2 linked regions of the Caenorhabditis elegans genome follow. The protein of the gene in region 1 purifies or fractionates together with the protein of each later gene. This does not show direct contact. Each region holds a gene or a part of one and is shown on either strand. Other genes may lie near its edges.

What was found.
Region 2: the proteins of F23B2.10 (region 1) and gba-4 fractionate together in Caenorhabditis elegans (co-fractionation; one large-scale study listed by BioGRID). This does not show direct contact.

What each region holds. Positions count from the first base shown.
Region 1 is NC_003282.8:9,152,166-9,156,237, reverse strand, and holds F23B2.10 (RING-type domain-containing protein), read left to right. Parts: upstream 1-1,874; 5' UTR 1,875-1,917; coding exon 1,918-1,966; intron 1,967-2,017; coding exon 2,018-2,229; intron 2,230-2,498; coding exon 2,499-3,419; 3' UTR 3,420-3,523; downstream 3,524-4,072. Other genes in the region: pcp-3 (Peptidase S28), read left to right, coding at 1-419, 482-974.
Region 2 is NC_003282.8:5,344,869-5,352,568, reverse strand, and holds the start of gba-4 (Putative glucosylceramidase 4), read left to right. Parts: upstream 1-1,671; 5' UTR 1,672-1,730; coding exon 1,731-1,797; intron 1,798-3,147; exon of another isoform or gene 3,148-3,220; intron 3,221-3,639; exon of another isoform or gene 3,640-3,660; intron 3,661-3,847; exon of another isoform or gene 3,848-3,868; intron 3,869-4,007; exon of another isoform or gene 4,008-4,028; intron 4,029-4,273; exon of another isoform or gene 4,274-4,294; intron 4,295-4,748; exon of another isoform or gene 4,749-4,769; intron 4,770-4,881; coding exon 4,882-5,064; intron 5,065-5,352; exon of another isoform or gene 5,353-5,361; coding exon 5,362-5,511; intron 5,512-5,556; coding exon 5,557-5,863; intron 5,864-5,912; coding exon 5,913-6,153; intron 6,154-6,270; exon of another isoform or gene 6,271-6,294; intron 6,295-6,685; exon of another isoform or gene 6,686-6,706; intron 6,707-6,970; exon of another isoform or gene 6,971-6,995; intron 6,996-7,090; coding exon 7,091-7,367; intron 7,368-7,414; exon of another isoform or gene 7,415-7,435; intron 7,436-7,502; coding exon 7,503-7,700. Other genes in the region: Y4C6B.7 (Activin_recp domain-containing protein), read left to right, coding at 273-324, 372-451, 665-770, 986-1,060. UniProt on the Caenorhabditis elegans protein: Glucosylceramidase that catalyzes the hydrolysis of glucosylceramides into free ceramides and glucose. C.elegans contains specific sphingoid bases, which are unique or different in structure compared to the sphingoid bases found in other animals.

The DNA of each region.
Region 1 (4,072 bases):
ATCTTCCAATTGCAACCACCATTTTCTGATAGTGTTACTGATACTGACCAGCATTACTTCTTCTCAAATGTATATGGAAACTTCCAAGGAGCTGTCCAATATTCTGGAGACAACACTGGCCCATATGCAAACGGATATGGAATTCCTGATATGTGCAAGATTATGTCAAATGACTCTAACACTCCATTGAATAATATTGTTGCATTCAATCAGTTTATGATTATTTTCTACAACGGAGGACAATACACAGGAATGGATAATAACTATCAGAACATGATTACTTATTTGAAAACTGCTCAACATTATGGACCGGACTCTGCTGCAGGACTCCTCTGGACTTGGCAGACTTGCTCCGAATTTGGATATTTCCAGTCTGCAGACTCTGGAAATGGTATCTTTGGATCTCCAACACCTGTGAAGTAAGTTTTTTGAATTATTCACCGAAATTGAAAATTTAATTTCAAATCTTATTAATTTTTAGTATGTACGTTCAAATGTGCATGGACGTCTTTAACAACCAATACCAGAGAACAAGTATTGACTATTCAATTGCAAACACCAATTACAAATACGGAGAGCGTTTCCATTATAGAGGAACAAATGTGGTTCTTCCAAATGGAAATGTTGATCCTTGGCATGCACTTGGTCTGTATTATCCAACTGATTCATCAGTTGTTTCATACTTAATCGATGGAACTGCTCATTGTGCTGATATGTATCCAGCTAGAGATGCCGATGTTCCAGGGCTCAAGGTTGTCAGAGATCTCGTCGATCAAAATATTGCTAAATGGTTGAATCAATCTCCAGCCACTGGAGCAACCCAGATACCTGGAACTGGTTCAACAGCTAAACCAGGGACTGGATCAACTTCTCAACCTGTAACAGCTTCAACTGTTCAGGCTACAACTAAATCTACCTCATCTGCTACTATTACCTTGTCATTCATTGCCATTTTCGCTAGATATCTTTTGTAAAATTTATTTGCATTATGAAATTGTTTTATTTTTATGAATTATATGATAATGTATTATATGATAATATATACTACTGTTCCTACCACTTTTCTGTAATGAAAAATATGTTCTGGAAAATGCGGTCATTCGTTACTTGAAAGGAAATATTTTCGACTAGAACGTCATAACGTGTTAGGATGGAAAAATGAAAGATGTACCAACTATGGCGAGTTTTAGTTATTTTAAAAATAAACCTAAATTCTGTGTACGGCATAACATCAGGCCCTTAGTATGGAGATGTGACATCGCCCAGTTACAACAGAGAGTGCATGTTTGTGTCTAAATGGTTGTTATGATAGGAGTCAACGCCGCTCTTTTGAGCTCTCTTCTTTGTGCGTTGTAACTGGGCGATGTCACATCTTGATACCATGTCCAGAATGTTTTGACAAAGAACTCACAATAGTTGGTACATCTTTCATTCGGACATCCTCTCACATTATGACGTTCTAGTCGAAAATATTCGTTTTCTTTATTGATTGCAGCTGTGCCATATGCGATTGAACTAACTAGGGAATTATCGTTTTTTCCTACTCTTTTGAAAACACGATTTATTTCACGTGTAGCATCAGATAGGAATGTTAACACCAAAACTATGGGATCTTTTGAGTTCTCTCTCAAAATCCGTAAGAAAAATGTTAAATATTTGAGTGTGAACATGGAAGATTGCTGAACTTTTGGTTGTATCTTGTTGACAAAATAATATTTTGAGGAAATTTCATAACCGATATATTTTCACAATTTTTATCGTATTGTTAATCGCTTTGATAAACAAAACAAGGTGTTTGTGTTTACTTGCTCATCGTTAAAATGTCTTTATTTGACAATTTTCTTCGTATTTGGAGTCACTATTAACTACTCAATATCGAATTTAAAACATTCATTTAAAATTTAAAATTTCGGCACAATGTCTCTGACCATTTCAACGCAATGCTCAAAATGCGAAAAGATTTACGGTATGTTTTGAGATTTATTTTTAAATCTATACAAACTTAACTTCTTTTTAGATGATAATAAAAGAAAGATATGTTCTGGAAAATGTGGTCATTCGATATGTGAATCATGTTTTGATCGAAAATCATCGGATATATGCTCGATTTGCAATCAGATAGATTCATTCGGTGTAAAGTGTATCAATAGAAGTGCAATGGAAATGGTCGAAATGAAGAAAAATGCATTTTCGTTTTCTGATATCTGGATTTTTAAGTTTGACCCAAAGGTAAAAAATGACCCCATAATAAAATACGCTGGTAAATATTATCAATTCATTAATTTAAAAAAAACGCCTCAAGAAACCTATACCAGGGGTGTGCGGCAAATTTGCAGAATTTGCCGTTTGTCGAGCTCGGCAAACTGCTTATAACTGTTTTTTTTTAATGTTTTGGATGTAGCGTGGCGTATAGAAATTGTACGCACTGTATGAATTGCCGTTAATATATGTCTATTTGAAACAATTCTAAACTTGTTCAAATGCATTTCTCATTTCAGGAACACTTCAACGGACCGTGTTCAAAATGTAATGACTATTCCACAATGCTTCGGGTATGTACCAACAGTGCAGTACAGGCAGGGCTATTGGTGAAAACTGGTGAAAATTCCTTTGATTTAACACCACATACCACTGATGAACTTCTGGAGACAATAATTCTTCGAATCAAAAGTATCGGAATTTGTGCAGACTGTGTAATTAATAATGGTTTGAAAGAAGATGTGGTAATGATGAAGAATATCAAGAGATTGTATGATATAGCTAAAGCTCTTAATTATCTTTCAATGTTCTCATTTTCCATGAAGCAAATTGAGCGTGAAATTGAAGAATTCAAGAACAAGAAGAATCAACTGAGATTCTACAATATGTACTATCATTTCGTCAAAGAGACCTATCCGGAAATAATGAAATGGTTGAAGAATGATCTTGTGAGAATATCAGCACCTCCATGTTGGCAGGTATTATTGAAAATTGTATCAATCATGACTCAAGCTGCACAGTCATTATTCTTAAAATCTGCGGAACGAGAACTTCAAATTTCAAAAGAAAAATTGAGAGATTCAAAAGGCAATTCAGAGTGGCAGAAAACGGTCGACAAACTTGAGAATTTTCGAGATTTTCTTGAAATAAATCACGTTGACGCTGAAATTCAACCAATTGATATGTGGAACTTTTTTGTATTATGTACAACTGAAGAGCTGGACAAGGTCACTGCAATAATAAATCGGAATTTAAAAATTCAAGGAAAAAGCAGCAGAGAAACATTGAAAGAAGTTTATTATCTAACAAGAGATGTTCGGAAAACTCTTCCTTTTCAAATTCCAGAGAGATTTGCTGGTTTCATTGATCGATTTATCAGAGTTTTGGTCGGAGAAAACTTGGATGAAGAGCAAGCACTGGAAATTCAATCAACAACTTAGATTGATGAGCACGAACAATTTTTTGTTTGAATATAATTGTAATTGTTCTTTACTGGAAATTGTGTTCATATGAAGTCTTGGAAAGTAAAAATATTCCCTTTGCATTTACGAAGTTACAGTAACCAAGAGAACATTTTGTTCGGATAATCATCTTAATTATGACATAACTTTTTTCGAAAAAAATTGTCAACCCTTCAAACTGTACAACCATACTTCCAAAAAATTAAATTGCCATGTGTTTCAGAGGTATATTTATTGTTAATGTTGTTGTTATGCAATTTTTTTAATTTTTAATCAGGATGAAACAAAGTGGAACCAATAGCATCGAATGAGTGTTCTGAAGCATCTCTACGAACGGGAAATTTCTTAGCTTCACTCCACGTATAAGCTAGATTATGTTTCTTAGTGTACTTCCAAAAGTGTTGTTTTCATTGCATTTTGTTTCATCAGAGGAACAACTTCTTTATGTGTATTAGTTGGATAAATCAGTTGCCCATTTACTCCGACAATTCGTTCCCCGGTTTTAAGCCCAGCTGTTTCACCAATACTCCCTGCATAAACTATTCCAATGTAATGTCCAATAGTTTGGTTAGCATGAAGTTGAAATCCAAACTCTTCGAGTGATGAGTATTTGAACTGCAATTTGATTTTTC
Region 2 (7,700 bases), 3.8 Mb from region 1:
TAAATCAAAAAGTGACATGTAAGCTCATTTTTGTGTGTAACTTTTAAAAAATCTCTCTGAGATCCAAGCTTATTAATAGTAAAACAAAATTAAAGTGAATTCTTAATTTCTAATCAGAAACAGTAAAACAGAAACAATGAAATTTTTCTTGATTTCCTTTAACTCAAATAATAAAAATTTTTCTGTTTCACATGTTCTTTAAAACTCATTCAATTTAATTGTTTAACATTACATGCTTAACATTACGCCCAAGAATAATAATAATTTTGCAGACGTGAATGCAGTTCGTGGAGCGATGAGCACAGTATGGAGGAGAAATGTCCGGTTGGTTCATTTTTTTCTGAGCATCAGACAATTTATATCAATTTTAGATGACCGGATGCCATTTCCAAACCAAAGATTCCACTTTTTGTTGCTGCCAGTTTGATGAGTGTAACGAGTGGAAGGGAGAGTAAGTTACTTTTTTTTGTGAAACTTTTTTGAAATAGGAAATACGAAAATTTTAGGTACGAAATACTTACAAGAATTTTTAAATAGATTCCAAAGAAAAAAAGAAAAAAATATATAAAGATTCATTACACATTTTTAGAAAAAAAGTTGAATCGAAAAATCTTAAAGCAGACTTCATCTATATATTGGCTATTTTTAAAACAATTTTTTTCAGCGGAACCGAGTTCAAAGCCGGAGAAACTAGCTCAAAATCGAAAGCTGTTCCAAGTGCTCCAAAACTCGGTGACGTCATCATGCCAACTGCAGCAACCCGTAAGAATGTTCGTGTGCATTGAAATTGCTTTATAGGATGAGATCAATTTTCTAATGAAATTTGAAAATCAAGTAAAACTTGTGAAACAGTAATTTTTTCAAGTGACTAAAACAATTGCTTGCTGATTTGAACCAAAATGCTGAACTATTATGGTTCAGTTGAAATTTTAGTTTTCAAATTATTTAAATAACACTAAAATTACAGCAAAATTTAAACTTTCAGAAAAGTGAAGACATCGTTCAAATTCCAACTACTGTCGCTCCAACCAGGAAGAGCAGTTTTGTCGAGCTTCCTTGATTTCTTAATAAAAAATTTATTATTTTTCTAATGGTTTAAAATTTTCCCTAACTGATTAGTTCATTTTGCATGAAATAAATGTTCAAAATAAAAAAAAAGCCTTTTAACAAAGTTTTCAAAAAATAATAAAATTTACAGAAGCATCAAAACGGTTCGTTCCAACTCGTACTTCTTCTATAATTGAAATCTCATTAAATTGTGCAAGTTTTTTTTTTATGAAACGACAGTAAAAAGCATACCATGAGAGTGTTATTACATTAATTTTTCCCACGTAATTAAATTTAAACACTGAAACGGTAAAATTTTTTGAACCTGCTAATAATATGTTAAAGTTCCAATTTCTTTATTGTTTTCAGATCACTATAGGTGACAACATGTAGCTCACTCACGCTCATACCACGAACTTTATCATACCATGATTTGTCCATTGCCCCCGTCATTATCTATATATGTCCTGCATAGTTAGCAGCCTGAAACCAATAATTTATGTGTTTTCCCTTCTTTTTTCCATAATTTCTTATCAGTTTCAATTATTTTTTGATCAGAATATTCCAACTGATTAGTCTTTATAAAAACGTGGTCAGTGTCTTCAAATATTGTTCTTATCATTTATTCATTAGTAGTCTTGGAAAGTGTCCGGTTTTAACGGAATACACTAGACTAGGCTATCATGATTTTGAATATATCCGTTTCTTTGCTAATATTTCTGGCGTTTTATGGATTTTCAAGCGATGCAAGTGAGTAGTAGAAGTGCCTGGAAGTGTTTAGAAAAGTTCTAAAAAAATATTACTGTTTCTCACTAGGGAGTGCTTTCACTATACGGTGCGATCGAGTAAAAGTAAACGTGTTATGCGATAGCTGGCATCTTAGGCTTTCAGAATCTGTAATTTGTTTCGGCGGAAGACCTCTGTGAGTCTGGAAATTTTCATCTGAAAATGTAGTACTGAAATCAGTTCATTTCCTATGGTTAACAGTGGATTTTGTCTCTGGCGCCAACAGAAGTCTCACCACAATGGTGGAAGGGCGAAATCATCGCTTCGGTGGTCGAGTGGTGAACGCGTTCGCCTCTTGAGCAGAAGTTTGTCGGTTCGGTTCCCACACATGGTTTAAATTTTGGGTTCTTTTATACAAAATTTTTAGAACGGGAAACAAATGTTTAAAACAGTTTTTTGAGGTTTTTACATTACTTTTTTGCTTTTTGATTGAACCACAATTACCCTGGAAACTTTTCAGAAATTTTTATTTTTTTCGAAAATTGCCACTTTTTTCTCCCATGAGAAAATTGGTTCCAAAAATTTTGTTTGAAATTTTTTCAAAAATGTATGAAATATTGTAGAGTGTCACGAATAACTTATTTTTCATTGTTTTCAATGACCGAATCACTGATTCTGATGCCGTATCAAGACGTTTTACCAAATCGATATTGGCAAAACATCTTGTTTTTGAGGCTCCATATCTCTGCAGAAAAAATCGCACTAAAAAGTGATCAACTAGAAACTTGTTAAACACAATGTGATCTAAAACTTTTCAGTTGAACACTTTTTTGTAAAAAATTTGGTTCCCAAGATATAGACCTTTAACTATTTAGAATATTCAAAAATAATGACGCTCAAATCAATTGGTTCCAACCTGGCAACCAAATTTTTTACAAAAAAGTGTTCAACTGAAAAGTTTTAGATCACATTGTGTTTAACAAGTTTCTAGTTGATCACTTTTAGTGCGATTTTTTTCTGCAGAGATATGGAGCCTCAAAAACAAGATGTTTTGCCAATATCGATTTGGTAAAACGTCTTGATACGGCATCAGAATCAGTGATTCGGTCATTGAAAACAATGAAAAATAAGTTATTCGTGACACTCTACAATATTTCATACATTTTTGAAAAAATTTCAAACAAAATTTTTGGAACCAATTTTCTCATGGGAGAAAAAAGTGGCAATTTTCGAAAAAAATAAAAATTTCTGAAAAGTTTCCAGGGTAATTGTGGTTCAATCAAAAAGCAAAAAAGTAATGTAAAAACCTCAAAAAACTGTTTTAAACATTTGTTTCCCGTTCTAAAAATTTTGTATAAAAAAGGCCAAAATTTAAACCATGTGTGGGAACCGAACCCACAAACTTCTGCTCAAGAGGCGAACGCGTTCACCACTCGACCACCGAAGCGATGATTTCGCCCTTCCACCATTGTGGTGAGACTTCTGTTGGCGCCAGAGACAAAATCCACTGTTAACCATAGGAAATGAACTGATTTCAGTACTACATTTTCAGATGAAAATTTCCAGACTCACAGAGGTCTTCCGCCGAAACAAATTACAGATTCTGAAAGCCTAAGATGCCAGCTATCGCATAACACGTTTACTTTTACTCGATCGCACCGTATAGTGAAAGCACTCCCTAGTCAGTTATGATATGACAAATTGTCATATCATGACTGAGAAACAGTAATACTGGAACTGAATTCAATGGAACTGAATTCTCAATAATCATTTAATAACTTCTATTTAAAAAAATTTAAAAATTCCCATTGAAAAATATTGCCGTTTCCGAGGTATAATATTTGAGTTAGTATTTGTATTACTTAATTCGTGCAATTCGAACAAATCTTTTTTTAAACAAAATGTGGAAATTGTGGAAAGTTGATACAGAAGTTTTACAAATTAAAAATACAAATTAAAACAAATATCGAGCATGAAAAATGCATTTGAAGCTACAACTTTTTAATATTTATTTTCACAAAAAAAACTCTGTTCCAACATGATCTGTTAAAATCCCACACTTTTATGATTCTGTTGCGAACAAGAAAATGTATTAGATATAACTGTCCTCAAATGCGTTTATAAAATTTCAATAAATGCGAACCAAATGTGACTAAAACGGACAAATCTGGACTTTTGCACTCAGAAATCGATTAAATTAAGACCCTAATTCTTAGTTCGGATTCGTCAGTTTTGCTACATCTAAATTGGATTCAACGATAACAATATTTTTTGAAGACTTCTAAAGATTATGTGAAACGGTATTTAAAAAAAAATTTGTCATTTCAAAAATCATTGTAGACATCAATCTTAACATAATTGCCAACATGAAAAGTTTCTACTGCTCCGAGGTAAAAAAAAGTAAAAAAAGAAAAAATTCATAACTTTTTGTTGTTATCCCAATAAAAAATTACTGTTTCTGTGTTATAATATGAGTTTTGGATTGGTATTGAATTGATAATAGTATCTTTTTTCAATATTTGAGCAATGATTTCATTACGCTTATACACATATGTATCAGATTTTTTCAAATTGTCAAACATTTGAATTATCAGAGTTTACAATTAACAAACCTTAATTAATAGATAACAGATAACAGTTATAATTTTTTTTAGGAAAATAACTCAGTTTCAATCTGCTAAATGCAAAATTTAATATTTTTCTAATCGTAACTATTTTTCTTCAAAATTAATTTTCGTATCCTTTAATCTAAATGGGCAGCAGACTGTAAAAAAATTATTTTAGAAACTTTTTTAGAAAAAATGCTTTAAAAAAAGCTTTTTCATAATTGCATATGCAAGACTAATAGAAGAAATACGGTAATTAATGTATTGTATTCATTGCTTGCAATGTGCAGGCAAAACATGGATAAAACAGTTTTAAAAAATTCCGTTTCAACAAATTTATTTATGAAATGTAAAATTTGAAATATGTATTTCGTATGGTAAAAATTTTCATAACCACAATTTACAGAACTGGAAATAGCTTTAGACATTTTCTAAACACGTAGTCCTGCACAATTTCCAAAACCATTCCAACTAACTAAACACAACTGAAGCCAATTTCCAGAGTCCCTTCCTTGCTCCGAAGTGAAGAAAGAGTATGGAATAGTTTGTCGTTGCAATGCCACGTATTGTGATACAATTGAACCACTTGGAACTGTTACTTCTGGGAAAGCAGTTGTCTATACAACATCAAGAAATGGAAAAAGAATGAACAGAAGTGAATTGAAGCATACAACTTCTTCTACAGGTACGTTAATTGTATAGGAAGTTCCATGAAGGCACAGAATTCTTGCCTGCATTCCTGTCTGCCTGCCTCCAGAATACACCGGAAGCTTATCAGTAACTTCTGGTTCGAAACTGATGCAAAATAGGCGGTAGGCAGGCTCTTAGATAGAGAGGCAGGCACCGCTCAACTAACACAAAAACCTTTATAATATTAGAATTTAGAGAATGATATTTTTTTATTTTGAAGTTGGCAAAAAATTATTCTACTGTTTCACAATTATTTTGTAACAATTGTTGATATGATACATCGTTTTTGTAGCCAAAACAAAAGTATATGTGAACACAACTCAAAGTTTTCAACCGGTAATGGGATTTGGAGCTGCATTCACTGATGCTGCTGGAATTAATATGAAGATGCTGCCACAGACAATGCAAGATCAAATTATTCAGCAATACTTTTCCGATGATGGTAAGTTATTTTCAAAAGATTAAGCTTGAAAAATAAATAATTTAGGTCTCGGGTATGTTTTTGGACGAGTTCCAATGGCTTCAACTGACTTTTCAACTCACGAGTACAGTTATGACGACGTTAAATTTGATTTTGATCTCAAAAATTTCAATTTAACAGTGGAAGATCTCCAGTATAAAATTCCATTTATCAAGAAGGCAATGACAGCTTCTGGAGGGAAATTAAAGCTATTTGCAACTCCATGGAGCTCCCCAGGATGGATGAAAACTTCTGGAAGAATGGTTGGTGCCGGAGAGCTATTGGGAGATCAGAATGGAAAATACTATCAGACATGGGCACAGTACTTTGTAAAGTAAGTTCTTATTTTCAAAGAAATAAAAAATAAAATTATAAAATGAAAGATTCTTCGAAGCCTATCACGCTCAAGGTATTGACTTTTGGTCTTTGACACCACAAAACGAGCCAACAACTGGAATTGATCCACTTTGGAAATGGCAAACACTCTTTTTCGATGCATCAATGGAACGAAATTTTATAAAGAAACTTTTGGGACCAGCACTTGCTTCATCACCAGTGACTAAGAATTTGAAGATTATGATTAATGATGATCAGAGAATTAATTTGCCACACTGGCCAAATGTAGTAAGTTATTGGTGGGATAAAACATTGAGTAATAGGTAGAAATGATTGAATGACTAAAAATTAATTAGATACTGTTTCACATTCAAAATAAATATATTAAAATTATAAACAAAACAGTAATCCAATACGAGAAACAAAACCTCTTTTATTTATTGAAAATTTTCAAAACTTTTATAGCTCTTTCCTTTGTTTATTTTTTTGTTTTCTATTAGGTACTTACCGTTTTTTAACACTATTAAGACTCCATTGTAATTAAGTATTTTCGAATTTTTTTCGAATCAAGACACTAGAACGGTTATTTTAATTTTAAAACTCGCTTTCACCTACAATTATTACTGAATTGACCGAATAGTTCAACAGTTGTGTAAATTGTTTTAGAAAAAATTAAAATCGAACGACAAAATGTGCAAAACTGATAAGAAACGTAATGCTAAAATGGATTTGTTGAAACATTGAAACATATCAGATATTCAAAAATTGTACTGTTTCACATTCAAAATAAATATATATATAGAAATTATAAACAAAACAGTCGAAACAAAAGTACTGTTTTTGGGAATCAAAATTGAGGTATTTTTGAGCTTTCCGTAGTCTTTGGTAAATTATGAAACAAAGTGTAATGAAGTATTTATTGACTAATTGTTAGAATTTGAAGATTATGATGAATGATAATCAGGAAATTATTTTGCCAAATTGGCCAAATGTGGTGAGTTGTCGTTTTGTTGAAACAGTTATGCAACAGTAGGGAAAAACATAAAATAATCAAACTTTGTGCTGTTTTACATTCAAAATAAATATAAGAAAATTATTATTGCCATCAATCTTTCTTTGGCCTTGGGAAGAGTTATCCGCAGAATTTACCTATTTGAATTTTTAACCCTTGATTAAAAATCATATCCCATTCCGACGTCCCCACTCTTTTAAAATAAAATTTTAGATTTTAACGGATCCAACTGCTGCTCAATACGTCCACGGAATTGCAATTCATTGGTATGAAGACTTCATTGACCCAGCAACCGTACTCACTGAAACTCACGAGAAGTTCCCAGACTATTTCCTTTTGGCAACTGAAGCATGTGCTGGATACTTCCCAGCAGATGGACCAAAATTGGGATCATGGTCTAGAGCTGAACAATATGCAAATGATTTGATTAAAGATATGGGAAATTGGGTTGGAGGATGGGTTGATTGGAATTATATTCTTGATTTACAAGGTTGGTTTGTGAAGTGTAGCAACACTTGCGATTTTTTAATTTAAAAACATCAAAAACCATAGTAAGAAACAGATTTAGAATTTTAAATCTTTGATATAACTAGGTTGAAACAGTTTTCTAATATTTATTTTCCAGGAGGACCAAATCTTGCCAAAAACTTTGTCGATTCAACAATAATCGTGAATGCAACTGCTCAAGAGTACTACAAACAACCAATTTGGCATGTAATGGCTCAATTCAGTAAATTTGTGAAACCGGGAGCTATTCGTGTTGGAATAAACATTATTGAGAAATCAGTTGATGTTGAGGGTCTTTCATTTTTGAATCAAGATG